2 linked regions of the Styela clava genome follow. The protein of the gene in region 1 purifies or fractionates together with the protein of each later gene. This does not show direct contact. Links are inferred from orthologs where the notes say so. Each region holds a gene or a part of one and is shown in the gene's direction. Other genes may lie near its edges.

Region 1 (16,437 bases):
TGACTATTCAATGAACGCCTAAATTAAATATGAAATTTCAGGCTTGGGTTGCAAATCCAGTTAATTAGACGGGCTCGGGTCGGGTTTAATACCCACGGGCCTGGGTCGGGGCGGAATTTTTGGGCCCGATCTTACTTCTATAGCTAATTACTTAGTCACCGCACAAAGATGGAAAGAAAAGAAATTATGACGTCAGATTCATTTACAGAACTAATTGTGACACCAGGTGATATAAATGCTAACCCCTCCCTCAAAAAAAACATTTGTTTTTTTGTTTTTTTTCAACTTCATTTTGCGAGTTATTCTTGCTTTCCAGGTATTTCTGCATCTTGTTTTTCTGTTTATTTTTTGTGTTGTTCTCTTTTTTGTCAGAATACCGAAATAAAATGATGATGAGCCACCAGACCATAAAATTGTCAGGGTATTCCCCACTTCAGCTACATTGATGGCAATAACAGTTTGGGGAATATTTGAGGGGGCGTCGGTCGGTAGGTATAGGCGTATAGCCATGTGGGGTGAAGTGTTGGGCATTGAGAACTAATGGAATATATGATAAAGAACATTAGGTACAATAAATCAATTAGAATTAACACACATAAGGTTTATAATAATGAATAGTGTTACTTGATGACTGAATGTAACCTACAGTCCTACACTTCAACTGTAACTGGCTGACCGATGTGGTAACGTATGTTGTGCTGATGAAGATAGGATATGATGTACATACCGGTAGTTATCCTGGTTACCCATATAATTGAAAGGAAAGCGTTTTCAAGTCCATTGGCATCTAAGCAGATTGTTGCCATGCCAAAAACTAAATGACTGGAATTTCTAATGTAATTAGAGGTTGAAAATTAATAAAGACAAATTTCTTAGCATAAATATAAATGCTGAAAGGAGCAATCATAACATCGATTTGGCAAAATATAACTGGTTTCAAAACACTGATGATGAAAATACAATGACAAGACGCATCATTTTTAACAGCCACGCTATTTAGACACATTAAGGACGAAATGCTTAGGTTCCTACTGCTCACAGGAACAGTTTAACCAGAGCTATGCAATTATAACATTTAGGACTGTAACACAATTTGAAATGGTTGTTACATTTTCTGCTAAATTTGTTAATTCAATTTTTATCCCTGCTAACATTAATAATCGATTTTGTAGCTTGAAACTGAAATACCACACAATAGTTTGCAGAAATCTCTAACAGTCAAACTTCCTTTTCTTTTGGTTCCATTACAGAATTTTATGCAATAATGAAGTTGAGCACAAAAGGAAAATCATTGCAAGAGTTTGTTGAAACTGATATTAAAGCAATTGTTGTGGACATTGAAGGAACCACTACACCAATAACATTTGTCACTGAAGTCCTGTTCCCATACATCAAAGAAAACATAAAGACATACTTGACCAAAAACTGGAATGAAAAAGAACTCTTAGATGATTATGAAGCTCTAAGAGCTTTGGCAGAGTCTGATAGACAATCGGAAATTGAAGATGTACCTTTAATACCATCACATGATGAAAAAGGTGCTCAAGAATCTGTGGTGAAAAACATTTTGTGGCAAATGTCTAAAGACAGAAAGTCGACAGCCTTGAAACAGTTGCAAGGCCACATGTGGCAGTCTGCTTACGCAGATGGACTTATCAAGGGTGATGTTTATGAGGATGTGCCGAGTACTTTGAAATCCCTAAAGACTGACGGAAAATCGCTTTTTGTTTATTCTTCTGGAAGTATAAAGGCACAAAAACTACTTTTTGGACATAGCAATAGGGGTGACCTTTGCCCACTATTTAGTGGATATTTTGACACAAATGTTGGCGCGAAGAAAGAAGCGTCGAGTTACATTAAGATATCAGATTCAATAGGCGAGAACCCAGAAAATATTATATTCTTGACAGATGTCCTTGCTGAAGCAGAGGCAGCAACAACAGCTGAAATGAATGCTTGTATTGTGCTACGTCCAGGAAACTACCCCATCTTAAAAGATGATCTGGAAAGATTTACAACAATAAAATCGTTCTCTGAACTTGTATTCACAGAGGAAGATATTCCAGAAAAGCGTCAGAAAGTTGACGAGTCCCTCAAGAAATAAAACTACGGTACTTAGTAATCAGTGATTGGTATTCCTAAACCTTGGGAAGCATGTGTCTTTGCATATTCTTGGTAATGTTTTGCTGATCCCAGTATTGGACAGCAAAATACTACTGATTGGCGCATATTCCCTTTTAAGCTAATAATTAGCATGCAGGCATATTTTACATAAATCCCAACTTAAATAACATTTTATTTAGGAAATAATTGGTTTGTGCATTATGTGGTGAAATTCATAAAGTTAAAAAAATATTGAAAAGATCTGTTTATCATTAAATCAACCATCCATTGAAGGAGTCCAAGAAATTATCAAGTTGCTAGTTTGGGCTTAGCAGTTATAATACAAAACATATATCTCTCTCTGGAAATCTCTGATAAAGGAAAGATTTAGCTAGCTTGTGAACCTTTTGTTGCAAAATTCTGCCCAGTGTCGAGTATTGAAATTCTAAGCATAGAGTAATTCCCTTGAAAAAGAAATTTGGAATGTCTTCGGATCCAGGACCCTATGTATGATGTAATAATAATCCAGTAAAATGAACTGATTCCATTTGAAGAATGATGATCTTGCAGTGGTAGTGATTAGACAAGACCCAGCAGGATGGAAATATTTCATTTGCCAGATGGAGCCTTACTTCTTCATCTCAAGGCTGCGAGAATTCAGTACGCACCTTACCAACATTAGGAACATGTCTTTCATCCCATATTGAGATACCATCACACGTGCAAAATCGTTTGGAATTCTGGAACAGCCCTGATGACCTTGCTATTATTGCACATGCTACGCTGTAAATATAATTAGGTCAAGCGGTAAGTACTGAGTTGAAGCCAGATAAAAAAAATACATTAATTCGTACCCTTTACCAGAATTTCCATCAATCGATACAAAATCATCCTGATTTTCATGGATAACAATTGATCTTCCAATAATATCATGTACCTAAAATGAAGGATATGTTCTCTTACAAATGTTTGCTGTGTGAATTGAAATAAAGTAGGAAGATACCTTGAGAAATTTATCCGTAAACCTGAACTTCGCTCGTCCACCATCGTTAGCTTTTATATTTCCCAGGTCACCGACATGCTGAAAGGCCAAACAACATTAAATGACACATTAGAAACTATGGAAAGTGATAAAAACTTACCCTCTCTTTAGCGAGACGATCTCCGTGACGCTTGTTATCAGGATTATAATGTTCACCACACCTGTTGAAAACACAGTAACATGTGGAATTATACTTAGTTTCATTCTTACTCAATTAGGTATTATGTTATTCGCTAACTAGTGATAAAACAACTTTAAAGCTCATTTTTAAGCAGTTGTTAACACAATAGGGTTTGACATAGCCATTACTTGTGCCATTACAAAGCCTTACAAATTTTCGATTTGTTCATAACAATGTGCGCAGCCTTACAAATTTTCGATTTGTTCATAACAATGTGCGCAGTGGAAAAAGGGTTGGTCAGGGCCATAACCTGATATTTATACCCTGTGACGTTGACAACATGGATATAAAATTTACTTATCAAATTCAAATAGTATGCATCATTCCTAATGATATAACATATTACCCCTCGCATCCGTTAGACAAGTCTCCATAAGTGTGAACATTAAGTCCATGGTAACCTGGAGAGAGACCATCAACAATTCCATCAATTAAACAAAGGTTATTTGTCAGTTGTGCGAGCCTTACAATTCCTTTGACAGAATTTCCACGAATTTCTGCCACCGCAGCTCCCAAGGGTTCTAAATCTAAGTAGGTTAAATCATTCAATTATAACAATAGATAAAAAGTTGAAGCATGTGTTACATGAGTAAATCAATGATCCTGAATCTATCGACTGCTTTTTCCCAATAGTTGTAAACAGCATCCAATGATCTTGTGTAATAGAAAATATACATGTATAACCTTTTCCCATAGAAGATCCTATTCCTACCAATTCAGCTTGCATTCCTGTGCTCTCAATCAATTTTTGTACATCTTCGAAAGGCAGTGCTGTGTCAACAACTACCTAGTGAATAAATATAGTCACAAAAATGTGTCTTTTTATCAGCACTACTGTTTGTGAAAGGAGATTGTTGTTTGAATAAAATAGTTTAAAATTCATTTTGTAATTATTGTAGGCTACTATCAATTTTTAAACATGGACAATGCTCATGAAATAGGGAATGTTGAAACATAAACTTGAATTATTACAACTTGAAAACTGAATCCAAGATAACTTTCAGTCCAAATTCAATAGTGACTGTAACACTGTCTTAGTTTTAATAGAATATTTGAAATGCGGAAGCCCATAGAAATTTCGTGAAGAATATGACTAGGGAAATTACAGTAATGAAGCTGAAGACTGCAACATGCCCCATATCTGGTTATTTACACAGTAAGTCTTTATAAGGTTGTGTTGATTCAAACTTATAGTTATTTATATTCTCCTTGCTATAATTAGCCAACCTGCTGGATGTTGAGGTTTATCTTGGATCCGATTATTTTGGAGTTTCCAGAAAGCACTTTCTCTACCTTTTCCACGCAAGTGTTACAAGTCATTGAGACAACAAACTCGAGCTGAAATAAGAGCAGAATATGATTTTTAACCTAAAGGCAGAAGAGAGAGAAATGATGATGAGGAAGCGATACAGTAACCACTCTATGACAACAAGGATTTCAGGAATCTTCTGCAATTAATTTTTCCTTACATAATTCTAACCTGCGCAGAGTTATTAGTCTTTTAATGCACAAATAGCCCATCTGAATGAAATAAAATTTTGTTCTGTATTCATCTCCCTGAAATGAGGAATTTCAATAACATAATAGGTAATACCGTAATGAAATTTACCTTTGCGACAGAATCATGCTCCATTGTACCCCAGTGTTATTGATGATATTATTGTACCGCGATGAAGTGTTCTCGCCTCCTTTCTCACTAGAATGTGAACCAGAAATCGGTTCTGGTATTGCGCAACCAAAGGTCGTTGAGGCGTGTCGATACCTCATTTATTTATTTAACCATATTTACGATTTAACCGTAAATAATTACAACTGATGATTTAACATAAGTGCCTAAATATACGACCGAAAAGTAGTTAGATAAAATAAAACTTCGGGGCTTTTGAAATGAATGTATATCCGAGCATCGATTTTCTTGTTTATTTACACAACAATAACAAATCATCAATAAGTTCACAATGACGTGGGAATTTATCCCACTGTTCAGACACTTCTTCCGCTCAGATACCGGTCTTGTTTATTGTTTTGAACTAAAATGATAGTTTTAAACATGTGAACCAGTTTGAGAGCGCAAACTCTCTAAAACGCTCTCAAAATCATATTTAAAAATTTTGCGATGATAAAAGTATTTTCAAGGGCCGGGGAAACGTCCATTTGCCCGCATGTATATGGTTGTTTCCCCGACGCTTGATCCCAGAATAATCTTTCCTATACTCAACGATTAACATAACTTTACTATAGCAAAATTTTGGATGCCTATTTTGCAAACGTTTTGACACTTTTTGTTCTCATCGTTTTGACACGAAGAGTTGACACTTACAAACTGATTTACATACTCATTATTTTCACTAAAATATACAACAACGTGTCGCTTATACGTACTAGCTAGTTTAGGTAATATTTATTCTGAGGGAGGCGATACGACTGCTTATCTTAATCACATGTTTTTCACTATTTTGTGTATTTTTCTGTTGGTAGGTGGGCACGTAGTCTACTTGTACGTTTTTAACTTTATTCTATCTCTGCATTATTTTTAAATATGTGCTACAACAATATTCATTACATTAATTATCACTACAACATATATTCCCATTACCATCGTACATTTGTCTATTATGTTTTTTGTGTTGTTTATGTCAGTACCGAAATAAAATGATTGATTAAAAATTTCAATTGTTATGCATCGTTGACTTTTTTCTGGTTGGTCACCGTTACAGAAACAAGAAAGCTATGCTCAAATATATGGACACATCAGTTTTATTTCGGTCACTCTGAAAGAAAACAACAAACGGACAAACAAAATGCAGAGGATCTGGAGAACGGGCATAACTTAATAAAAAAGGTAAAACCGTACAAGTACGTGCCCGTCCACCAAAAACAGTCAAAAGATTTTAATAAAACAAAAACACGATGTAAAATCGGGCAATACCTTCTAATTCAATTTTAAAATGTGAGACGTGTACATGTATAACAACAATCTGCGCTCTGTTCCATCATCCACAACTAGATTCATAAAAGGATCGAAAGCTCGCAAAACACCTCTAACAGATCGTCCACAATTTAACCTCAAATCCAATCTTTTATCAATAAACTTCTTTAATTCCGGTGGTTGGGCTTTGATCATGTTGATATTACGCGATACAAATCCAACTGTAGATAACGAAACACACAGTGCGTAGCATTCTCTAGTCCAGGGTGGTTTAAACCCAGGCCCGCGGGCCACATATTAGCCGCGGCTTCATTATCTGTGGCCCGCGTCGCATTCGAAGAGTAATGAAAAAATCGCACTCCGTGTTGTTTCGTAATAAAATTAATCAGAAAATTTTTTTGATATGTTGTTACATAGTATATATTTACGGTTACATCACTAATGTCACTGAATTGACTAGTGTTATGGCCAGCTGAGGCAACTAGCGAAGTTGAATAATGTGCTTGGCAGTCTAAATTATTGTCTAGCTTTCCATCTTTTTGGTCGGGAATATATGCTAACAATATATGCATCATAGAAAACTAAAAATCGAACGCAGATTCTATTAGCCTGGGATGGCTATATGTCTAATAACTAAGTGTTTGCACAATAAAAGGGTTTGTTTTGCATTGCACTGTTTACCTATTTTTTATGCACTATTGTGGCCCGCAAACAATGCAAAAATAATTTTGTGGCCCGCGGAGCCGGCAACCTTGGACCACCCTGCTCTAGTGTTTTCAAGTATCCACGGCCGCACCCGACGACGGTCGGAACATCGTTGTATCTATTCAGTTAACCATGGTTGTATGTTAGCTTGCTCTCGAAACACGATTTGACCTCAAAGTTCAGGAAACAACAAAAGCGAAATTTTGATACGCCAGACTAATTCCCCCCCTCCCTCCAAGAGGCGATAGGCGGAATGACGAACTGTCTTCTCAACGTTGGGGAGAGCGGTTTGGTAGCGTGGCCGAGCGGTCTAAGGCGCTGGTTTAAGGCACCAGTCATTTCGATGGCGTGGGTTCGAATCCCACCGCTGCCAGTATTTTCGCAACACATTCTCGATAATCAACCCTTTGTCGGCGATCTGATATGACTGTTTTCGCTTTTTTCTTGTCAACACACTGACACACATGTTCAGATGTTACCGTGCTGTCCGACTGTTGGCGGTGTTTCCACGTGATCTTGTGAATTCAGGGCTGCCACTCTATGTTTTATATCAAGATCTAGATGTAAAATTTGGCGTCTAGATGTTTTTTTTCGACGTTCCGAATATTATCCAGTGAGAAATAAATAAAACGATGTGTATAGACTAATACGGTACCGTACTGTAATACAGTACCGGTACTGCAGTAATATGTGAATGAATATTATTTCATTAATTACAGACTTAGAAGTAAGTTAAATATATTGATGTAGACTATCATTAAATTGTATTCGTCTACCGGTACGGGTACGGTACCATATGTAATTAAATTATTCGAATAACGAATTAAACATGTTTAGAACATGTGACGTTTCAGTTACATAATTTAATAGAAAGGTGGACGTTGGTCCGATGAATCAATGTTTAGTATTGTATATTTGTATTGTTGCCAGGTGGTGAGAATAATTCGGTAGTTCAAGTTGCTCACTTCAGAATTTTAAAATGATAGCCTAAAGTTATTTAAATGCTATTGAATTTGCCTTTCTTTACTTTAAAGTGCTATGAACCATACAAAAATAAACTGAGAAAGAGCATAAAGCTGTAAAGACAGATTTACTGAATGTTGCATTTCTTATAAGTTGCTGATTTGGTTGTCAAAAAAATATGTACAGCAAAAACTCATAAAAACCCCTCTGAAGTGACAATATCAACAGATGTTAGCTTCTCCCACATCTAATCCTATGTAATATATTAAACTTTGGGTGCTCCCGAAGTATGCGAACCAAGATGGCGGACATCAGAACGTAACAGGTTAGGGTTAGGCGATAATTTTTTTCCAATTTTCCTTATTTTAGTCCTATTAAATTATCAGTTCGAAGACTAGCCAAGAGCCTCCCGTAGTATTTATACCTAAAATTATGGCCTAACCCTAACCTAGTACACATATTACATTCCGATGTCCGCCATCTTGGTTCGCATACTTCGGGAGCCCCAAACTTTGTATGCTCTTGTTTCGTCGATTTTCATCAAATTTAATGACTTCATCTAGATGTATTTTCTAGATGTTTTATTTTTCAATCTAGATGTTTTTCGAGGTCAATCTAAATGTTTTTAGTCAGACAAAAGTAGCAGCCCTACACATGATGCAGACCTCATTTTGTATCTGTGCCCAGTACGGGTAGTCCATGCTCAAGGCCGCTCAAAAGCACGGCGACGTTACCGTACGTTTGGATTTTCAGATTTTAAATATTGCTTTCAATATCTTATTTCATGCATTTTTTGTCACATACTGACAGACCTTCCAAAACTCTGTAACTGCTGAATTGTGTAACAATATACTGATATAAGGGCAAACAATCTTAATCTTGGTTTTGTGGTTAGAGTTTAAGATTAATCGTCAGATGACAGGATAATGGAAACCACCACAGAAGATGAAGTTGTGAAAGAGGTAGGTCTTACTCTTGGTGATATAATTAAAATTTCATGCAGGAAGCGCTTAATGCAGTTAATGGATGGATATTTCATTCATTCTGTCACCAATATATTTGGCTCAAGTTAGTCAACTGTCGAAATATCTATCATTCTAATTTTCTATGCATAGGCTTGATGAAATTTTGCAAAATTATGCACTATGTTACTCGACATATTATTGTAATTCAAATCTAAGTTCTTGTTGATTTTTCTGTACTTTCATTTCTTTTGGAAATGAACTATATTGGACCATAGGATCAATCTGTATATACAATGGACCCTAATAATGAATCTAAATTTATTGTTTCAGTTTGATGTCTATTTGTCCAAAAGCTTGTCTGGACGCCTTTACTTGCTGCAATATCCAGTGCAAAGTGTAAAACGAAAATATGGGTCTCAGGATCGAGATACGGCCAAAATCAAACCACAAAATAATAAAGTAAATTCACTGTTTAATTTTCCTTATCGTTGGCAGGTCTTTTATCAAAAATTTATGCTAACTTTGGTTAATAACCAGTCAGGTTATTCTGTTAAAATTATTAACTGGGTGTAATTTCATGTTAAGCTTGCTGATGTGCAAAGTCAAACTTGTTAATGGAGAAATGTTGATAGATATCTTTGTATGCCTTAGTTAGCTGCAATAGAACATCTAAAAAAAATTTCAAAACTGTCACATAAGGAGACACGTTCCTTTTTACTAATTGTTGTGAGCACCATATCTCACTTTGTTTTTTCCATTATCCAGATTGAAATGGATGTATCACTTGACATCAGCAGTCCAAACTATGACCAAAGCAAAGGAGAGCAGATTGCATTGAATGTTGATGGAAATGTCGGAACAATACAAGCATCAACCACATTCGATACAAATGTTATGGACAGACAGACGTTACAATCAAGCTGCGTGCCAGCGAGAGGAAAACGATATGTATCTGCTATTGTTCAACATGGTAAACCTAGTCTTTCTTGGTGAAAGTTACAGCCATGTTCTACTATCTTACTTTAAATATCTATTAAGAAATCAAATAAAAGATTAAGAAACCACTAAAATTACTTGACATTTTTATAGATGAGGTACATCTGACTCCAATATCTCATGTCATGCAACTTAAGCCAAGTTTTAAATATATGGATAGAGCGGAACATAGAGCATCACAAGCTGCAAAGGCCAAAGCTGCAGCCGAAGCAGGTAATAATGACTTTCATGTCTACATTTCCCACGGATATGCAGCAGTTAATGAACAAGGTCTAGGTCTTCTATCCTAAATAAATAAACATTGCTAGCCTGCTAAAATTATTTTAGTTATGTATGTATTAAACTTCATGTAAGTTTTTATATATTTTTTTTATTTCTTATGATGTTATTTTATTAAATGATAAGGATATATCTAATTTTCTTGGAAGATTCGTCCCAAGATGAGGCAGAAGAAGCTAAGGCTGTAACCGTTCGAGTGAAAGGAGCTGAATCAGAAGCAGTTCGATTGGCTCGAGAACGATCTTATGCTGCTTATGAAAAAAGAATTGCAGATGAAAAATGGATAGAAGTTAAAGTACACCATAAATTGGTGAGACAGTTACAAATATTGAGCACATGTGTTTTGAACATTATGTGGTATGGATGGTTTCCAATGAAATCAATTTTCTATTTATTAATTAAACTTTCCTGTTATTTGCATAATGGAGAGATTACAATTTTGAGTTATTGTGTATTTGCCCAAAGTTCAATACAACTCAAAAATATAGCTTCAAAACATTTCATGTGTTTCTTTAACCAAATTGCAATTTATCACAATATTGAGAGGGCTTAAATTTTTTTTTGACATAACAGGAAAATTCTCTTATCATAATGTGAAATCTTATTGCATATTTTTAAAGGACAGTTATGCAGAAAGAGAAAGACAGAGACTTATTTGCCAAAACACTAGACAACCTGACGATAAATTAAGCCCAGCTCTTACAGGTATAATTTATAATTTTGTTTTGAATGATTTGAAATTCTAAATTTTGCTGAGATTTGAATACAGCCTGACTCGGTATCGTATGTTTCTTTTTACAGCTTTCTCTGAAATGGTACAAACACCACATGAATACCTCACCAAACTAATTCCAGTATATGATGAACATTCAGTTGATAACAGTGCAATACCTGACAATGTTCTATCTTTATCTCTGTTGAAAAATGAAACATTAGGGGATCAACTGAAACTTCTAATGAAGAATGGTATGATTAGTATATGATGTATGGTTTAGTTTATCTTTTAATATTCATTATTTGGGGTTAGATATGTGAGGAAATTTTATGAAAAAAGAGCTTTTCGTTCAGATTATATTTTCAATTCAAAATTGTTATATTTTCATGTTGAAATTTCAACCCATTCATTATTCTTTCGAATGGGATTTTACAGATTCCCAATTTTTTCATGTTAAAATGCCAATCTCTATTATACCCATAGTGGTTGCAACAAGGGGTAATACCTTGATCATTTCACCAGATATATCGACGCATGAAATCCAAATTGGGCTAGGTCCATTTTTCTAGTTTTGAGAAAAACGCAAAAAACATTTTTTTTTTTGTTTCTTTTTTTTATTTCTCTAATACCTTACATCGAGGATGTCTAATTTTTATGGTCCACCAAAGTTACAATGAAGGCCATATTTAGATGGTATAAACAAATTTGTGCTCCGCCCCAATTTTTTTTTGGGGGGGGGGGGTTTGGACTTAACCCTTTTTGGCTCTCAATTTTCTGGACCAGAAACAATTTTATTGGACTTAGGGCCCCTTTATTATGTTATTATAGAGGCTGGTATGGACTTAGCGCTTTGTATTATATTTTTTGAGAGGAGCTATGTCCAAAAAACGGACTTAGCCCCCACTTACAATGCAGTTATCCAGAGCTAAGTCCACTATAGTAGACACAGCTCTGTTTAGTTCTCAAATGCCCTAAAAAAGCAGGGTTATGTCCATAGCTGTCTTGAGATCTAGAGCACCTAGAGATAAGGCAAATAGACCAAAATGTAGAGCTAAGTCCAGGAAAATCAGCAATTGAAAAATGTCATTTTTTGGAAAAGTGGACTTAGCACTGTTTGGTTTTGAGGTGTCGATATATGCTCATACTATATTGCCAACATGCTGATTTACTTTTCAGCCAAGATTCTTCACTTTTATCACCTGATATCTCTTCTACCTGAACCACCAGATGTCAGTATCATTGTCAGATCATTGCAATCATATGCTGTTCTGGTGAAGGGTTGCTGGGTTGTGAAGAGGTGAAATACAATTAACTGTGTATATTAAAAGCATTGACATAAACTTGACTAAGAGGTGCAAGCACTCGTCCTGACTCGTGTTTGTAACTCATAGATATTTGGGTAGGGGTGTAAGTATTTGCAATAGAAGATGAATTTTGCCATGCTAAAAGATATATTGCATATATATTGGAGCGGTTGGTACATAGAGATAAGCATTGAAAATATGCTTCACATCGAGTAGCTGACCACTCTGCATGTCTTTGATAAGGTATCGCAAGACTTTCCACTGTCATGTAACCTCTAGTCAATTGTCATCCTCTCTACCGTCCGTCTGGAATGAATGATCAACTGGTTAGCTATACTTTTTTTATTGCCGTTTTTTTTTTCACAGTGAGGTATTGTTTCCAGCTAACACTCTAAGCCCAATCTCAGGAACTCCATCAGAAAGTTTGTGCAAAAGTCGAGATTATATTTTGTACATGTTCACAAGGAAGGAGTTTTTAGTGAGTAGAACTCATGCTTGAATTATCTTTATTTTATGTGAATATGAAGCTCAGTGATTGTATCAATAATTCTATTGATCTACTGTTTTTTTTATCGGCATCTTATTGCTTTACTGCTTCGACAGATCCTGCTATTTGATTACATCCTTGACGCGATATTGGGCTTGTTCTGAACTATGGATTGACTAAAATTCGAATCTGTAACTGGCAGTGCTAGCATAGTTAGGCTGATGCACCCATCACTGCGACGCCATTTGTGGCACGCCATTCTTGCTTGTAGCATTGTCATGACTTGCATACATAAAGTTATCTTGTGTACAGGTCAGAAAAGAAATCACCAACACTGTGAAACTGCCTGGAGATGATGTGAAGGCAATTTTAGAAGACATTGCAGTAATGAGAATGGGTCATGGATGGCAACTAAGATTAAGACCTGATAATGACTTCATGGTATGATTATAGTTATATATTCATCTTCTTCCTGACTTTTACTTTTTTTATTTGTCAATATGTATTACCGGTACAAATTTTTCTTCTAGAGATTCACTAATTCTGGCGTGATTTTGATTATACGAACGGAACATTATGTGATTGAAGATAAATTATTTGCTCACTTGTGAGTTTTATGTTTCAGAATCGATTTCCTGATGTATGTGAGCGTCAGACAATGTTATGGAATGCACAAGGCGCCAAACTAGCAAAACAGTTAAATTTAACGGAACTTGTTGGAGATCTGAGTAAGTTTCCTGAACAATTTGGCAAATTTCTCTAGTTCTGCATGAGAGTGAAGCATTACTTTTGACTGCGATGTTAAAAACCCATTTTTCACAAAAATATGAATGGCATTCTTATATTTCTCAGATTCAGTCCACATCAAACAAGAAATTTCTTCACCTCCAAGAAGGAAAAAGAATGCTTCTTCATCAGAAGATGGTGTATCAAACAAAAAGAAAACTGTTTCTAAGCGTCAACGCAAATCATCTGGTCATAAAACAAGTCCTGCAAGATCCCATCAAGCTCCTAATGAGTCACCTAAAGTAAAATCTGTACCAATGTCTCCTAATTCTAAGAGGACATCTATCCAAGAAATGCCCAAATCGGTTGCATCTGTGAAAAAACTAGATCCTTCCCAGAATTCAAGCAATCTTACTTGTGTAAATACTATTTGCGAACAACCTTTCCATGGGTTGGATGGAGCAGCTGCCCTTGTAAATTCAGCTGTACCTATTGCTATGGGAGATATTGGAAAATTAAGCCCAAAAATCAACATAGCTGGGGTTAATTCTACAGTACAATCTGTCGCCACAGAGATGATTAAGAGAGGTTCTCCGCAGCAGAAAGTTCAATACTTCATACCTCAAATGAATATTTCATCGCCAACATATGACGCTGCTTTGGAATGCACCAATGGCCAATCTGCAGCAATGGAAGTTAATGAAGAACAATCCATTAACAATATTTCTAATATTAATATCGATCATGTGTCTTAGCGTTATTGCTCTGTTGGATCATTTATATTAAATTAGGAGCACAATATCCTGAATGTTTTTATTAGATAGTCCTTGAACAGCCAAGGTGATTTTTGGGGTTAATAATTCCACTATGCCAGGGGTGGGAAAAATTTTTGGTATAAGAGCCGCATGCAGCAAGTCAGAAATGTGTGAGAGCCGCACCATTTTTCAAAATTATTAGTATTAGAGCTCATCAAATTAATTTGCATTGTAACTATTTTGGGAGACGCGAAACTGGCGTTTGTTCTATTCAGTGGCGCAGCCAGGTGCAATTGCCTTCTGCTAAAATCGCCATTCGTTTCATCAACGCGGCATGTTATTTATGCCGTGAACGCCCTTTACATTGGCGTTTAGTCTCTTTAAATCACAAATTTGTGCCGCGGGAACAATGATAATTATTTTATTTTTGTACCCGCACGGAAATGTGAAAACTGGAAAAGCGTGCAATTGCCTTCTGCTAAAATCGCCCATGTTTTCATCAGCGTGTTATTTACGTCGGTTTTTATTCTTTCTAAATCATAAATTTGTGCCATGATAAACATGATAATTATTTTATTTTTGTACTTTGCACGGAATTGTGAATTCGTGAGTTATTGGACACGTAGTGGACATAACGATCGTTTCAATATTATGTTGTTGTTGTTCTTTGACACGATTTTAAAAAGTCGCTTTTCTCTTCGAATACTGGACCAATTGCTTTGAAATTTTCAGTGGTTAAAGATTAATTTTTTCGCTAGAAGGCTATTACTTTTGTTTATTCTCAAATTTTATATGAATCCTATGAGATATGATATTTCATACAAAATTTCGCGGTATTTATTTTTACTCATGGGAACACTGTTTTACACTTATTTCAAGCGGTTTCGCGATCGATTGTCTTGCTCAGTACTACAGCTACTGTAGGTCGGTACTGGTAAGTTGCCATACCGGTACCGTAACGCAGTGAAATTGACTTATTCCTTCCGCGGTATTACTAATGCTGCAATGCAAGTTTTATAGCCTATCGTATGCGGAACGGAATATCAGACCTACAGGTCCGGTACTGGTAGCTCAGTACGTAAGTACGATACTGGTACTGGTGCCGGTACCGGTGTCTTACCACAATGAAATTACCGTAACTTATTCTTTCACGGTCCTACCAGTGCAGTAATGCAAGCGTTGTAGCACTTGTAGCCTACTATATTTGTTTATTTTGATGAGAGTCTACTGGAAACAACATAAAATTTGAAAGGGAAGAATTGTTCTGTGATCAATTATCTGTCCTAAAGTGTAAACAACATAAAATTTGCAAGGGAACAACTGTTCTGTGATCAATTACCGTATATGGCCTACAGTGTACAGGTAAGATGCTGGCTGACTGCTAACCGGTACTGGTAGCTCAGTACGTAAGTACGATACTGGTACTGGTGCCGGTACCGGTGTCTTACCACAATGAAATTACCGTAACTTATTCTTTCACGGTCCTACCAGTGCAGTAATGCAAGCGTTGTAGCACTTGTAGCCTACTATATTTTTGTTTATTGGACACGTAGTGGACATAACGATCGTTTCAATATTATGTTGTTGTTGTTCTTGTTCTTGTTCTTGTTGTTCTTTGACACGTTTTTAAAAAGTCGCTTTTCTCTTCGAATACTGGACCAATTGCTTTGAAATTTTTAGTGGTTAAAGATAAAAATTTTCTCCAGAAGGCTATTACTTTTTTTTTCGCTATGACGTCATCAAAATTATGTTACTCTACGTGTCCATATATTTGAGCATAGCTCTCTTGTTTTGATGAGAGTCTACTGGGAACAACATAAAATTTGAAAGGGAAGAATTGTTCTGTGATCAATTATCTGTCCTAAAGTGTAAACAACATAAAATTTGCAAGGGAACAACTGTTCTGTGATCAATTACCGTATATGGCCTACAGTGTACAGGTAAGATGCTGCCTGACTGCTAACTCAGTACCGCTTGACACGTTTTTAAAAAGTCGCTTTTCTCTTCGAATACTGGACCAATTGCTTTGAAATTTTTAGTGGTTAAAGATAAAAATTTTCTCCAGAAGGCTATTACTTTTTTTACGCTATGACGTCATCAAAATTATGTGACTCTACGTGTCCATATATTTGAGCATAGCTCTCTTGTTTATTATACGTTCATCGGTGGCGAGGTTCTAAAGACAAAAGAAGGAGTAAACCGCGATCTAAATTTGATTGAAAAGCGGCATTATAAAATACTGAAAATAAAACCGTAAACAATATAAGTTTTGTTGAGTCCCGCGACA
Region 2 (16,606 bases), on another chromosome or scaffold:
TATTTATACTCAACATATGAGGCTTTAACACAAAATATCAAAACTTGAAAAATCTGTCTTGAGAAAATAAGAAAACTGAATTCCCTGTAACTTTTTATTGAAATATTTTGGTGACTAATGCTAATTTGGTAACTAATCTAAACATGATTAGATACCAAGAATGCATTATTTTTGTTAATGTAAAATATCCAAATTTCAACATTTGCCTTTCCGGCTTGAGACATTTGAATCAGCTAAAGTCAATCAATCAACATCATAATCAATCTTACCTAAAACAATTAAAATAAAGAAAATCTTCATGCTACTGCTCTGTTCTTCCTTCTGGGCTTCTTGGCCAGTTTGAATATTTGATATGGCTTCTTCAACTTGCTTTTTTCCTTCATCTTCTGTTGTTGTACTTATTGCTGTTGTTGTTGTTGTAAAATTATCAGACGCTGTGCTTTTGATTTCTTGAGGCCTAAAGTGATAAAGTGGAAAACAGTTAAGCTTCGTGCCAAAACTGAGCTATATTTTAGCCTAAACAGTAAAATTTGGTTTTAGTTAGGTTGTGGCCGCATCAGACGGGCCAAATTGATGTACCCAACGAGCCAGATTTGGCTTGCGGGCTGTAGTTTGCCCATGTCGGCCTTATGGTCACAAAATTAACTGACTAGTATAAAACAACCATTTTTAAATAAAATTTATTTTCTCAAAAATTAACTAACGTGAGATATTCTTTTCTAATGACTCTATTAGAGTTATATAGCATATCGAACATACTGGAAAGGTAAGTGTAAAACATTTAGAATATTGTTCTGCCGCATTCACACTTCATTACAATAAGAGACAGAAACAAATCTCAACAAAACACCATAATAAAACCATTTACTGTATTAATTGCTACAAGAAGCAAATACATGTTCCAATTTCGTTCAATTACATATGTCGTAGCGAAATCAACATGTAAATACAACATATAATATAGCATTCTAAAATACGACACTGAATCAGAATAATGCCTCAAAAAAACTTGAAACATAAATCATTTTGAAATTTACTTTCTTACAAAACATTGCAAAACAACCTAGAATAAACCTGTATTCAATTTTAGGACCCATGTCAAATAGAGCCATTTCAATATCTCTGAAGTAAAAGCTGATTATATCTCAGTGAAGGCTTGTTCAAAGCAAAGCAGTTATACACTTTATATTAATTTACCAAGCTTGTATAAGATTTTATTATTTCTCAATAAAATTGATAATTATTCTCAAAAAAATAAATAATTTAAAATTCACAAAAATCATTTTCAAAGGCAGTTTTCGAATACTAAATCTATTCCATTACCCAACATTCCACTAAGATTGTTCACCAGTTTTCTCTATTTATATTACTTTAATTAAATTGCTTTTATAATATAGAAAAAAACATACAAAGAGTCCACATTCGTGTTTTTTGGTGCATCTTCTAAGGCTTGGCATGATATACAAAGAAATAAAACCAGGAATAATGATAATTTCCAAGTGCGGCCGATGGTTGAATATGTATTTATTTTCACTACGTAATTTACATTATTAAAAATCATGTTTAACTATCATCTGTTAACAAAAATTGCACAGTACAATGAATCCATTGAAAAGAAAAGAGCAAAAAAAAACACAGATTAAACCTTATAGTATCGCAGGATACATTCCAGTTCCAAATCCCAAGCACCCCCCCCCCCCCTCACCCAGGATATAACGTATTGAAATGGCAATTTCGAACCAGAACAATTCCAGCCCCCAAATTCCATACCCCTAGATATCAGTGGCTGCCCATACAGGCCTTCATTTCCGAGAGAAAATGTGAATTAGCGTCATATAAGGAAATTAATAAACACACAATACATTAGAAATATCATAGTTCAATTTTTCAACAAAACTTATGATAAGGAAAACAGCATTTTAACTGTAATTCACCAAAAGCATGGCTTGTGAATAAAGTTTTCTTTGAAAAATAAAGTAGTTCTTGAAACAAAGTTGCAGAACTGTACAATTGATAAATGGGAAGTTTAGATTTTAGAATATTCAGAAAGCCTATTCATAAGAATTCAAAGATACCGGTAACTCCCATCCCAATATCCAAAAAAATTGAAAAGTAAAACCAAAATTCCAATTGAATTTTTTATGATATCGCCATACTCAAAAGCACTCACTCACTATAACAAGTAGTAAAGCACGCACAATTATAAATCAAAGTATGTATATTGAAATCAAAATATAGATTGATCTTTGACAACGCACCATTCATGATAACCAATGCTTAAATTTTTTTTGATCAGATTCACAAGATGTGCAGTACCAAATGTTATTCAAATATCCAATAAGCGACTCTTATTTATTCTGCACTACATTTTGTCTCAATGTCAATCAACAGATAGATATGTCATTGAGAGGTTTCATAACCAATAGCCTTATGTGCAAAAATAAATAGACAATACATTGAAACATTTAAATTAACAATCTCATATGAATACAGGATGAAAGGACCTGGTATTTCCTGCAAAAATAGCACGGAAATGAGTAATAATTGTAACAAAGAACTCATGTACTACCTAGTTATGTTGTAAGTATTGTCCAATTAATTAATACAATTCAAAAAAACAAAAAAATTTCTATCTGAAAATGAGTTTAATTAAACCAGAATTTCGAATTCTCAATAATTGGGAGGCAGTATATCAGACTTTCATTGGCTATAAGTGGTCTCAAAAGAAAAAAAATTGAATTGAAGGCTTGCATACCCCAAGCTTTTGTTCGATTTGGTTTCATGAAGTTCAGAGCTGAAGTAAAAATTTTCTTTAATCTGGAATTAGGCGAGATTCAAAAGTCAGTATTTATATGGCTCTCGGAATTTGAGGTCAGACGTAAATTTTTCCCATCCCTGATCCATATATTCAAAAATAGTTTGATTTAAATGATTTGAAATCCCACAAATATAACTCAATTCATGAAAAATATTTTCTGTGATACAACTTTATAAGTGAATTTGAAACAAGGCACATAATGAGATGTATAAGAAATAGATATCACCAATGAATAAGTCTAAAATAAAATTATGTTTGATGCTTCGTTATATGATTTAAATACAATATTTGTGACTGTAATTGATTATTATAGTGTTATGAAAACTGATGTATCATTCATGTTATGATGACAACGGTGGTTCATGTAACTGCTGGTCAGTTACAAGCTACAGTTTCCTCCAACATCAAGTCCATGCATCTGAAACAACTGGTTTAACTAATCCCATACCCGACAAGGACCAGAAACCAGACAAGAGCACTTGGTCGCCAGGTGTATTGACAATTGATAGCACAGCTGTGATATAATTTGCTATACAAAGGAGCATTTGTTGAAGTTTACGGTACAGTAGCTGTGCTTGCTAATATCCATGTTAATTTGTACATCTTGACAATTTAACCACAAGTTCAGAACCAGATCATTTGATAGCTAGGTTGTTAGGTGGATTTGCAATTAAAATACATCATTTGCCAATTTGCATTGCAATTTCAGCTTCTTAGAAAAATGTATTCAAATATTAAGATACCCACATACAAATAACTAATGTTAAAGATTAATCCCAGTGAAAAATTACATTCCTATTTACTAATAATGTCTGGAAAAACCTCTTCAACCATTTCACATAGTAAATTATAGAAAATATGTTTGTTCAATTTCTCATCTTGTAAGGCATGAAAAATCTTAAGAATGCCACGTCTCGCATTCTCTTGGCCAATTAAGCTTTGAAACGCTTCAGGGATATTCTGTAACAATTTAACTTGTGCCTCCAAAGCCGTTTGAGTTTTCTCTTCTTCAGATCTTGAGGATGTTAATTTTGGCTTTAGTTGTCCATCGGGCCACATCGAATCCATAAATAATTGAAGATAGTAAGTTAGCATTGGATCAGAAATAAGCCAATGTAAAGTATCTTTAATTTGTTTATTAATGGTTCCACCGAAAGCAAGCCTCACAAATATAACTAATGTTTTACGTAACGGACGAAACAATCCTTGAATTTCAAATATTTCTCCGACAAGTTCATACAACGGTTCAGCAATTGAATCTAAATCAATCACATCATCTGCATCTGTTTCATCGCTGTCAGAAAGATCGTCTTCGGATCGCAGAACCGACTCAAAAATATCTTTTGGTAATGTAAAAAGTAAATCACCAATTTGCCATAATGATTTTTTACGAGAAGTTTCACCGGTAGAAAAAAAGGGATTTGAAGTATTCCTGCGATGACTTTTTCCTCGTAGCAGAGAATCATTTTTAGATTGTTCTGGTGGTTGACTGAGAAAGGCATAAACTAATTCACTTCGACTTAGTATTTCATCTTCTAAAATATCTTTCAAATATTCGTTTAAAACTACCTTTGATTTATCAAGAAATTTATCCGATATACCACCAAACATAGGAATATTTGGTAAACGTTTCTTTTTTAACCAAGGTCGGAGATCACGAAGACTACGGTGCAATAATTTGAATTCATCAAGATTTCTTGCAACGACCCAACCAGAAACATCATCTGTAACTTCCAAAAGAGGGACACCAGAACACAATACAATTATACTGTAAACAGGGACTTTCGTCGCATTTTCATCATTAATAGGCAAAATAGCAACATTATCAATATTCGCACTCCAATTTCCCATTCGAGACCACCACGTTTCCGTTCTTTCGATGTGTAATTGTTGCTGCAATTTGTCCTTCTGTAAATCAGCGATATCTTGTTGCAATTGCTTCGTCAATTTCTGATCTTGCTTGCCACCAGGTTTGAGACTCTCCAAAGCTTGTGCTTTATATTCCAATTTTTCTTCAATGTTGCGGAGTTTTTCTATTGCTCCATCAGATGGTGACTTTCTATTTCCAAAAGCAGCTGTACGGTGCGAATAAGAATCGTCTTGCTCAGGTTGAAATATTGCATCCTCGGAAGTACTATCATCCCTTAATTGTGGCATCAATTGGTAGATGTAAAAATCGCTGACCAAAAAAGATGGAAAATGATCCTTTTCTAGTATTTTATAAATCTGTTCTTGGAGAGTGAAAAAGTCATCTGGAGCTTTATTACCCACAACACAAGTTTGCATGCCCTTTAGTAATGATTTCTCAATATCAATTCCTAATTCATCAGAAGTGCCTGGTACTACATAAGTTTGATAAATATGACTTATGATTTTAGCAAGGTTTTTACCAGTAGGTTCGGTATCACGGATAATTTCAACTTCACTCCAAAATTTTAACAACGACCCACGTCCAATTTTTTTCATGTATTTCATGAAATAGCTGCGAGCCATGGGAGATGCCATTACCTCAGAATAAGAAAGCAAATGAACGCTTGATGTAATGGCTGCCCCAGATGCCTCGTCTCCAAATTTAGGTTGATTTGAATTGCCATCTCCTCCTAGTGCTTTTATTCGTTTTTCGCACTGTTGTCTTGCGACTTGACACTGATTAATATAGCGTTTCAAGTCTCGAGATATCAGTAATTCTCCCTTTGCCATACTCTTCGCTTTCCCCAATTTTTTTTCGTTTTTTTTTAAACTGCTTATTGCAGTAGCATGCATGAGTTCTGTCATGATGTGACGTCTGATTTGATATAATTGATTAATATTATCAGTACTGCTAATTATTCGAATAAAATCTTCGTAAGTTGCGGCATACATATACGCTCGTGTTTTCTCCTCTTGCTCAGATTCTCTATGTTTGATATAAGCTAATATGCTTAGATTAATATAGTCAGGATCACAAATACTATCAATCATTGGCAAAAATACCAAACCAGCCAGAATTTCTCTCAAAATCAATTTTGAACTAGAATTTGACGATATATGAATGGGGAAACATAACTTTATAATATATCCACTAATACGGCGAAGAAATTCCTTTTCTGAGTTGGTATCATAGAGACAAGGGTGAAGACTAAAAAGTTCAGCATTCTTTCGTGAAGGATCTGATGCACTCAGTTCTTTAAAATATTGTACCAATGTTTTTACGAATCTATCCATCACTAGATGTGTTATGTCAACTTTGGAGAGATGTTTTGAAAAATATCGATACGCCTCCCAAAAGTCAGCCTTGACTAACTTATGCAAACGTCCATGATCATTGCTAACAGTGGCATACCATGTTTCCACAAAGTCTCGGAATGTGTATTCAAATATTCTATTCATAAGCATATCAACATTTTGTGAAACACAAACATAGGTTCCACTTTGTACACTGCTCCGATCAGGAATTTTACCAAGCATGGCTATTTTGGTTTGTATATGTCGAAGAGATGTACGAGGAGTCTCATGCATGCGGTAATGCATGTGAATACTTTTTGATAAGCCTTTCAAGAGAACAACAAAAAACTTTTTAATATGGAAAATGAATCCCTCACCAGTTGGTATATCATAATAAGTGCGATTCCGTAATATTCCATTCTGATTTTGCGACCACGGATATTTATCAACTGCATAGTCAACAGTTTTAATCGCAATATAGATTCCAGTCAATATACCAATCAATGCAGCAACAATCGCAGAAACCATATTGAAAACTTTAGAAGGGATTGCTGTGTCAAACATGTATACGATCCACAAGATTAACAAAATGAGAGTTAATTTCCTCCAATTAGAAAAAACAGTAAAAAATTTCAATTTCCGCAAGACATCCATTATTAATGTCTAATCAGTCTTTTTCTTTTCTACAACTTTTTCTGTGTAAGCGGCGTAAATAAAAAGTCCGAGAACAACATGAACCACTACAATTGAAGTTAAAGCAGATGGCACAATACTCGCATCTTCTGTGAGTTTGAAAAATCCTTCGAAAACCAAATTTTTTGCAATATAATATGATGATATTGGACCGGTCACCATAAGAAAAGTATAAAATAGCATTTGTATCACTGTTGAAGCTGGGACAGCACCTTGTTCTGCTTGTTTCACTGTTTCTTCATGTAGTTTTTTCTTTAAATATTCTTCTGAACTGGTATTTTCTGACATTTTATATCAGTATTTCATTTATGAATTAGCTGTTAATTATGAGTATTTTCTCTGGATCAGAATATAGGCATAGCTTATTTTGAATTGTAATCCAATCACATAACACTGTACGGTAACACTACAGCATTACTGCACTAAGAGAGAAAACAATCAAAACATAAAATACAGTACTGCAGTAATACCAGGGACCCTTCAGAACCGCTGTACCTACCCAACTTGTAGACGAGTCTGCCAGTGCTGTAGTGTAGTGACACAGTGATACCGGTACGATTGCTTGCAAATGCAGAAATGTTTGAATGTAATTAGCTATAGGTAGTACTATATTTACCTTTCTAATGCGAAACTGTTCGTTCATCACATCACTAAAACACATGATTGAAAACATTGACTCGTCTTCGTAGGTTAGCGAAATACTAAGAACGATAAACCCTAAGTGACTATAACCCTTGGATAACCCCAACCTCTAAATCTAAATGATTGACTTGCATCTTGTCTCATGCGACACAACAGACAGACAGACTGACAGTGACAGGTCAAAATTTATTCAATCAGGAATAGCGGACTTGCACGGTTCACGTGACTTTGTTTACGCCGCCATTTTGGACGGCAAAAAATAAATAAAAACGTCCAGACCTCGCTCCTGTCAGTTGCAAGTCGCGTTGATTAATGACATAATAAATGACAAATCAGGCATAGGGCAGATCTCCAAATGTTTAAATTCAAACTGTGAGTATTTCAACTTACAATGTATGTGTGGATTCAAACAAAATATTTTAGATGTGGAAAATCACGGGACTTGCCATTTTAATATCAGCAAGACTACAAGAAGATTTATCTAAATTGTGATCCAACAGGCGGAGTCTCAAAAAGGTCGTGTCCCACTAGTCCCACGTGTCTCCCTTGTCCCACTTGTACCACGTGTTCCACTTGTCCCACGTGCCCCACTCATCCCACGTGTCGCACTTGTACCACGTGTCCAACTTGTCCCAATTGCCTCACGTGTCTTACATGTCCCACTTGTCCAACTTGTCACATGTGACAAGGGGGGTCAATGAGTCATGCACTAGGTGACTAGGGTGTCCATTTGACTTGTGTAAGAAATTAATCATCAGTTGTCATAAAGTATTATGCCCGATACATTGGTACATTTTTAATTCGTGGTACTAGAAAAAAGTAGTTCCCGGCATTCTTATTGTATGCTAGTTTCTAGATTGTTCAGAGAGGGAGATTTGTTGTCACTAAAACAAAGTTAACGCTATACTGTATAAACATAAGCCAATAAAGGAAATAATTCAACAGTGATTGATTATTGTTTTGTGCGGATCGGTTTGTAGGACTGATAATGGTGATCTGGGCTCCCGATCCATGCGTATAAGTTGTATGAAAGCTATCATGATGGCATGGTATAGTACAAGGTGGTCCGAACCCAGGCCCGCGGGCCACATGTGGCCCGCCGCTTCATTATCTGTAGCCCGCGTCACATTCGGAGAGTAATCGATAAATCGCATTTCGTGTTGTTTCGTAATTAAATTAATCAGAAAAATCTTTTGACATCCTGTTACATCACTAGTGTCAATGAATTTACTAGTGTTATGGCTAGCTGAGGCAACTAGCGAAGTTGAATGATGTGCTTGGCAATCTAAATTATTATCTGGCTTTCTATCTTTTTGGTCGGGAATATATGCTAACAATATAGGCATCATAGAGAACTAAAAATCGAATGCGGATTCTATTAGCCTGGGATGGCTATGTCTGATAACTATGTGTTTGCACAATAAAAGTGTTTGTTTTGTATTGCACTGTTCAACTATTCTTGGCACTATTGTGGCCCGTGAACAATGAAAAAATAAATTTGTGGCCCGCGGAGCCGACAACCTAGGACCACCCTGGTATAGTAAATGATGGCAGACAGTAAATCGTTCATATAACATAAGGATTAGAATTTACATATTTATCCCGAAGTAGAGCAAGGTCTATGAAGCGGCTCCTATTGCGAGCACCAGTCACCAGTGCATGTCGGGTATGCGATCAGTTCGCCAGTTATTTGTTTCAGATGCATGGACTTGATGATGGAAGAAGCTTTTACCGACTAGCGGTTACGTGAACAACCCTGAGGCGGGTAGGAGTCCAGTAACCTTCTTGCACATAATTATCTTCCGGGATTCGAACGTGCGAACACAGGCAGATTAATCATACTTGAGGTGACGAACGCATGCCTAGCGCTTAGAACGATGAGCCTTGTGGGATGGGACTCTGCCTTTGATGTGGCCCATTTTTGAGATGTTCTCCCCATTTTGAACATATTGTTTCCGACCATTTACATATGATGAGATCAGATAAAATGCTTCCCCGCGAATTCCGCAATGATATAGACTTTCTAATAGAATATAATGATTTACTGTGTCGAAAGCTTTCTCAAGGTTTAAAAAAAACAGATGTGTTCAATAAGAGAAAAAACTGCCGACTTGAAATTCAAGATTTTAATAAAATTTAAAACGAGTCGAAACTAGTCGTGTCGGATTTTCCCAGAATTTCAACATACAGTAGTTGTTTGAATGTGTGTCCATTTATTGATGATAGCTTTATGTTTCTCTGATTCCCTCAGGTCTATAAGAAAAATTATATATTTTTTTCTATAACAACAAAAACTGTATTATATGATGGTTGGATAAATAATAAAACTTCTCTTTCAACACGTCGATGCTTTGTATTCCAAATTGACCAACTGATTCCTCGTGACATAAAGAGAAAATCTGGCAAGCATGCTGAGGAATCAACGTCCCGTTTGTTTTGAAAATCCAAAGATATTTCGGCTAACCTTGTCAACGTTCTCTGACGCTCGAGGTTTGCTATCTGTTTTTTGTAGCGTTATCTGTCCAGTATCGACATGGAAAAGCCACAAATAATAAGTCATATCGAGAAATCGCTAGACTTCACGTTATTTGACTGCAAATGGATACCCAGGAGTGCAAGGTTTGTTGTTCTCGGAAGTTATCCGCGCGGTACTGGTGCAATTTTGGTGTATGAAATATCCCATAGAGAAATCAAGAAAATTAATGACAAAGAAACACCAGCCTCTATGAAATGTGGAACGTTTGCTGCATCGTCATTACAGGTATGTCATATACTGATATAGGTTCTGACTTTGCGAACATTTGTACTGTATGGTACCGTAACGTCTGAACGTAGGTACGGTACCTGCAGACACAGAGACATGAACTGGCAAAAAATTCCCGGTTTTTATTATCTTTTTTTCACCGAATGGTATAGGCCTACCTAAAATCCTTTGTTATATGGTAGGCCTACCACTCTTTTGACAAACTTCAAAGAATACTAGACAGATACGAAGGCATGATCTTTTGTATCACATGATTTAATAATGTTTTACTTGTGAAATTTGTTGAGGAATAGTCATGTTTGACTCCCTCTCTATCATAGCATATGACATGAAATTGCAAAATATTTCAAAAATTTTAAATCACTTTTCAGTCACGGAATCTAGCAACTGGGGACTTTAGAGGGCACCTGACAGTATGGGATATTGAGACTATGCAGGATGTATATTCAGTACCAGCACATAATCAAATCATTAATGCAATTGATGGTGTAGGAGGATTGGGTGTTGGAGAAGGTGCACCAGAAATTGTCACTGGAAGCCGTGATGGTTGTGTAAAAGTGTGGGACGTTCGCCAGAAAAATGTTCCTGTGGCCAACATGGAGCCGGAAGAAGGGCAGGAGACGAGAGATTGCTGGACTGTTGCTTTCGGAAATGCTTTCAATTCAGAAGATAGATGTGTATGTGCGGGATATGATAATGGTGATATCAAATTATTTGATTTGAAAACAATGTCTATTCGTTGGGAGACTAATTTATCAAATGGGGTTTGTGCAGTTGAATTTGATCGGAAGGACATAGCTATGAACAAATTAGTTGCAGCTTCACTTGAAGGAAAGTTCCAAGTTTTTGATTTACGAACACAGCATCGTACTAAGGGTTTTGCTTCGCTTACTGAGAAAGCACACAAGTCTACTGTGTGGCTGTGCAAACATTTACCGCAAAACCGAGACGTGTTTGTGACAACTGGAGGTGCTGGGTCATTAAATCTATGGAAATATGAATATCCTCCCAAGAGATGTAAAACAGAAGACAATGAACAAGTCGGTGTTGTTGGTAATGTTCAGCTACTGCAGAATGCAATGCTTTCAACGCAACCTATTTGTGGATTTGACTGGAGTCCAGATAAATTAGGCCTAGGAGTTTGTACAGCTTTTGATCAATCACTGAGGGTAATTATAACCACAAAGCTAAACTCTTTGTAGTATCTGTGCACTTCACATGCTTTTTTACTGGGATAGATTTTTAAACAGTGCCCATCCTGCATCCTTGGCTTTCAATATTGAGATGAATATATAATACAAACCCAACTTTTTGATTTATTGAAGCTCTCAATTTCATTGTATGTTTGCAGTTGAAGAGAGCAATATAGAATATTTTCGTTTCAAGTAGTTTCCTTTATACTTAAATATTGACCTTTTTGTACAGTAATCCAAAATTAAAGTATTTGTATAACAACTAATTACTCTGTAGACCAGAGGTGGGCAAGCTACGGCCCGCGGGCCAAATCCGGCTTGTTGGGTAATTCAATCTGGCCCGCCTCATGCTGCCGCAATCAAACTAAAACCATATCTTGATGTTTCAGCTAAAAATAGCTCAAGGAATTTGTTGAGGTTGCGATTACATTTAGTTTTGGAACAAGGCCTATTGTTTTCCACTTTTGCTTCTGTAACACTGTAAATATTGTGCATAAAATGTAACATTTTACGTCACACTTACATGGCCCACCAGTCTAGATGGCTGAAATTTTTGGCCCCATGGTCTAAAAACCTTTCCCACCCCAGCTGTAGACGATGGTTTTTTCATATAGAAGTTGCCAAAATTGGATTTAGAATGTTTGTTATTCTTTGTCTCCTTACTGTGATTAGTTATTGTATGTTCCACACAGAAAATATGCCTTTGTGCTCACTGTTTGTATTTGGACGAATATTATTTTCTGTAATCTGTACATACTTTCCTAATGATTTGTTCTATTGTTTTTACACACCTATGTAGTATATTTTTCATAAGATACTTATCATTGATGAGTTGGGGTGGACAAGTGAGATCAGTGACTTAGCTTAGTTGAATTAGGCCTACTGCCCTACTCGTAGGATAATGAATACAGGTGCCAACATGTTTTATAATTTATTTTGTGGCTAGGAATACTATATTTGATAACTACAATCATGTTGCGAGCAGTTGACTATGGTCATCCCTCATATTGACTCATACGTGAGAACAGAAATCCAGTGATTGTTCACTCCTGGGCAGTAAGTAATACGCTGTTTATTTTTCATGTTGCTGAGAACGCACAAAAAATATGCGAATCGAGGTTTCAAAAAGATAGTAAATGATTAGGAATCAGAGATGCCGTCAGTGCGATCTAACAATACAATGTTAAAAAAAATTTGAACTTCATTCCTGATTTAAAACAATGGATGTTTTCCTTGACCCCAGAAAAATATTACCTATACTTTAATTTGCAAAATTTTGGATGCTCATATTGAAAGTATTTTCGATAACTGGCACTTACAAACTGATTTACATGCTGAAACCATCATTTTTCAATATAAAATGCGACCTCGTGCCTCTTACAGGTACCGGTACTGCTAGCTAATTTTCGAATATTGCAACTAAACATAAAGCTCATCGGAACACACCATGACAATTAAATTACTACATTCCCAACTAATTTTTGGAAACACAACCGGGAAACTGACAAATAACAGGCGAAAACGAGACAATGTTTATTATAACCATGCTTGAATATCTGTCGGCGCAAACGGAGTGTCTGCAAAAATTGCAATTGTTGCGTCCTCGTTGATTTTTTTGCTAATTGGCCATTTTTAAAGAAATCGATGCTCGGGGAAGCATCCATAGGATCTGAATTTCAGTGTAAAGTGAACAAAACCTGACACTTTCAAAAAGAAGGAAAATTATGGAACGTAGGGTACCTTGAATTCTCACTATAAAACTGCCATACCGGGTGATTTGAAGCGAAGTAGAAACAAGTCTTTGCTCATTTGATTATATCGAGCCTGATCCGTAGCCTATTATTGTCGATCGTCACCGGTTACTGAGTTAGCCTTTTTCGACAGAGACCACACAAACCCCCCCGATCATGTCTATATCAGAAAGGTATTCGACGGGCGTTTTATTCGCATATGGCATTCATTGGGGCCATATGATATATATCTAATCACAGTGGCGGCGCGCCAATAGGGCCAACCGGGGCAATGCCCCGGTTGTTTTTTCGGTATAATAAAGAAATATTCGAAAAATACCTCAATATCGGTTGCACAGACTGTCTACACTAGCCATATTCTCCCGACATGGTTCATTTTTCGCTCGCAAAGCCTTCGCCGAACGTCGACGGGGTGACGTCGATTTTGCCCCGGTTGCTCATTGTATATCGTATTCTCTCTTTTATCTTCCACTCGCCGCGTTTGCCTCGTTTGTTTTCTGTTTCTTTTACTAAATCAACGGGGCCGATCGGGGCTAGCCCCGAAATTATGACGACACAATGCCGACGTTTCTTACAACAACGTGTTGACATATTCACGCATTCCTTCTCGTTCGTTGGTTGCTTGAAGAGTTGATAGTTTCCTCGCCTTCGTTTTTGTCGCTTGTTTCGCTATTTGAATCAGTTAGAGACCTTCAGTCCATTTGCTTTCGATTTTCCACATTCCTTTTGAGCTCCTCACTTCTTTCCGGCTTCGCATTTCTTAGCCTTAGACCTCAAAATGAATAAGGTTGATGCACTACTTCGCACTCCGTTTTCGCAGCTGCCGCTGGAACAAAAATTAGAGGTACAACGTCTTGGGCCTTATCAACCAAAAAATTGTTCACTGGAACAATCCCATGACGGAGGAAAGCGTCGGCGTACATTCTGCGCAGAAACTTGGTATAAAAAACACGAATGGTTGTGTTACAGCAAGGACAAAAATGCACTTTTTTGTTTTTATTGCCTACTTTTTGCTACCGCCCGTGACTCACGTTGGTGTAAATTTGGTTTTAGAGATCTTAAACATCTTTTCGAGCGTGCCAGGGATCATCAATCTTCTATGGAGCATCTGGACAATGCAGTAAAATACCGAACATTCGGAAATGTTAATATTGCAGCACAGTTGGATGAAGGACGCGCGGTTTCTATGCGTCGGCACAACCAAAACGTCGAGAAAAACCGCCATGTTCTCGGTCGATTGATAGATGTTTTGAAGTTCATTGGTTGTCACGAGCTGTCCCTCCGTGGGCACGATGAACGGGCTGGCTCTTCTAATAGAGGGGTATTTTTGGATATGGTGGAATACACCGCATCCCTAGATACAGTATTGAGAGATCATCTTGATGCCGCAACTGTTTCAAAAGGGACATCTAAGGATATCCAAAATGATTTGCTCGACTCAATGTATAAAATTTATTTACAACATTTGGCTCTGGAAATTGAGAATTGCCAGTTCCTTTCGATTCAGTCTGACGAGACAACTGACATCACGTGCGTTTCCCAACTGGCTGTGATTTTTCGGTTTGTGAAAGATGGTAAACCTACCGAGAGATTTCACAGCTTTGTACCAATCGTTGATCGCACGGCTTGCGGGATATCGGCTGTACTGAAAGAAGTGTTACAGCCTCACAACGCGAAGTCAAAATTGATAGCTCAAACTTATGACGGCGCGGCAGTCATGAGTGGGTTGAAACAAACATGGTGTTCAAGTTTATATAAAAGAAGATTTTCCTCATGCGCATTTTTTACATTCTTATGCACACCAATTTAACCTCGTTATTAAAAATATGTGTCTTGATACCCCTCTCGTCCGTATATTTTTTGCAAATGTTTCGGGGTTTTCTTCATTTTTTTTTCGTTTCGCCGAAGCGCTCTGACCTCCTTCGCCATCAATGTAGCCACCGTCTCCCAGCTTGTGCACCAACACGTTGGAACTTCCAATCACGCGTGGTGCAGGGCGTGTCCGAAATTAGGTCTGAGCTCATTGAGTGTTTCAATAGCATTCAGAGCTCTCCGGTTTGGGACGAACGCTCTGTGAGGGAGGCGGCAGGTCTAAAGCGTCTGCTAGAAGATGGTGAGTTTTCATTTTTTCTCCACAATATTCTATCACGTGGATGTATTATACGGCGCATTGCAGTCAAGGCTAATGGATGGAGCGTCTGTGCAGTCGTGTATTTCAGATTTCTGCGATGCTGTATCTCGTATCCGGGAAACAATAAAATACGACGACACATGGAGTGCTTCTTTACGCCGCGGGCAAACAACGCAGCGTTTGATTTTGTCTGCAAAGGAATGCTGTGACATTCTGGTGAATCAAATAGGCGATCGTCTGCGCACTGAACACCTTGCCGCGTTCTCTTTGATGAACCCCAAAAATTTTTCAAAATTTGCACGTCAATTTCCCATCCATTTGTTGGCTACTGTCTCCAAATTTTACCCCATGATAAACGTGGGTAAATTGGAAAATGAATTGCGATGTATATACACCAATCAAACTTTTTTGAACATCACATCAACTTGCGCGCTCTATGGGTTCCTCATAGATAACACTCTAGTAACTAACTACCTTTGCGGCGTCTGCAAAATTTCTGGACATCATTTTGACGACGCCTATTTCTTCCGCCGACGCAGAGCGAACATTCAGCACGCTGAAGCGTATTAAAACGTATTTCAGAAACACAATGAAGCAAGATAGATTAAATTCCTTGGCTGTTTTATCCATTCACAGAGACGTTATATCTGGGATGCATGACTTTAATCATCGCGTTAGGATAGGATAGGATTTACATATTTATCCCGGGGGAGAGGAAAGCCGATAAGACGGCTTATCCATATGGCGAACCACGGCCTCTCGCCCGGTTACCATTCCGAGTCGGGTATGGGATTAGTTATATATTGTTTGTTTCCGGAAGCATGGACTTGGTGGTGGAGGAAGCCGTAACCGACCAGCGGTTACGTGAACCACCCAACGACGGCGAGGAGTCCAGCAATCCTCTCGCACATAACCATCCCTGCATGGGATTCGAACCTGCGAACCCACGCAGAGTAATTAGAGGTGCGGTGGCGAGCGTATTCCTAACGCTTAGCCCGTTGAGCCACATCGCCGCGCCGAGCATTTTGCTTCCAAGAAACCAACCGCGGCGTGTTGCATATATGTTCAAGCAGTAGAAGTCTAGCAGCATATATATCTATGAGTGAGCGACGCATGTCCTTATCTTTGCATTACCTTTCTTCACATTTTCACATTTCCTTTCTTCATAGTAACGTTTTAAACCCTATTTTAGGTTTTGTCTGCTTTCCCGAAGTTTCTGTTAATAAGTCATTGTATTTATCTGGGTAAATATTGCCTTTCCTTTTGAAAGAGGTTTCAAAATAAACTCTGTCTATATTTATCAATCCCTTGATTTGGACCGGTTTTAAAGACACTTTCTTATCGTTAAGAATTGTCGCTTTTGCCGATTGGTTGTTACCGATGGAATGGTTTTTATACTCATAAAATGAT

The links.
Region 2: the proteins of DNA-directed RNA polymerase III subunit RPC5-like (region 1) and dynein axonemal assembly factor 10-like purify together in Homo sapiens (affinity purification with mass spectrometry; 3 studies listed by BioGRID and IntAct, with this or other methods). This does not show direct contact. The link is inferred for Styela clava from reciprocal best matches to the Homo sapiens genes POLR3E and DNAAF10.

The regions. Positions count from the first base shown.
Region 1 is NC_135260.1:20,668,430-20,684,866, forward strand, and holds DNA-directed RNA polymerase III subunit RPC5-like, read left to right. Parts: upstream 1-8,364; 5' UTR 8,365-8,849; coding exon 8,850-8,885; intron 8,886-9,218; coding exon 9,219-9,347; intron 9,348-9,653; coding exon 9,654-9,858; intron 9,859-9,977; coding exon 9,978-10,097; intron 10,098-10,312; coding exon 10,313-10,473; intron 10,474-10,783; coding exon 10,784-10,868; intron 10,869-10,964; coding exon 10,965-11,129; intron 11,130-12,054; coding exon 12,055-12,175; intron 12,176-12,548; coding exon 12,549-12,660; intron 12,661-12,981; coding exon 12,982-13,110; intron 13,111-13,294; coding exon 13,295-13,397; intron 13,398-13,521; coding exon 13,522-14,150; 3' UTR 14,151-14,196; downstream 14,197-16,437. Other genes in the region: enolase-phosphatase E1-like, read left to right, coding at 169-226, 1,251-2,104; copper chaperone for superoxide dismutase-like, read right to left, coding at 2,745-2,886, 2,958-3,040, 3,107-3,184, 3,246-3,306, 3,673-3,853, 4,011-4,113, 4,554-4,664, 4,936-4,959. UniProt on the Homo sapiens protein: DNA-dependent RNA polymerase catalyzes the transcription of DNA into RNA using the four ribonucleoside triphosphates as substrates.
Region 2 is NC_135262.1:8,034,480-8,051,085, forward strand, and holds dynein axonemal assembly factor 10-like, read left to right. Parts: upstream 1-9,739; 5' UTR 9,740-9,890; coding exon 9,891-10,118; intron 10,119-10,492; coding exon 10,493-11,323; 3' UTR 11,324-12,129; downstream 12,130-16,606. Other genes in the region: sodium/hydrogen exchanger 8-like, read right to left, coding at 270-457, 1,410-1,561; sorting nexin-25-like, read right to left, coding at 3,614-6,676; vacuolar ATPase assembly integral membrane protein VMA21-like, read right to left, coding at 6,686-7,003. UniProt on the Homo sapiens protein: Key assembly factor specifically required for the stability of axonemal dynein heavy chains in cytoplasm.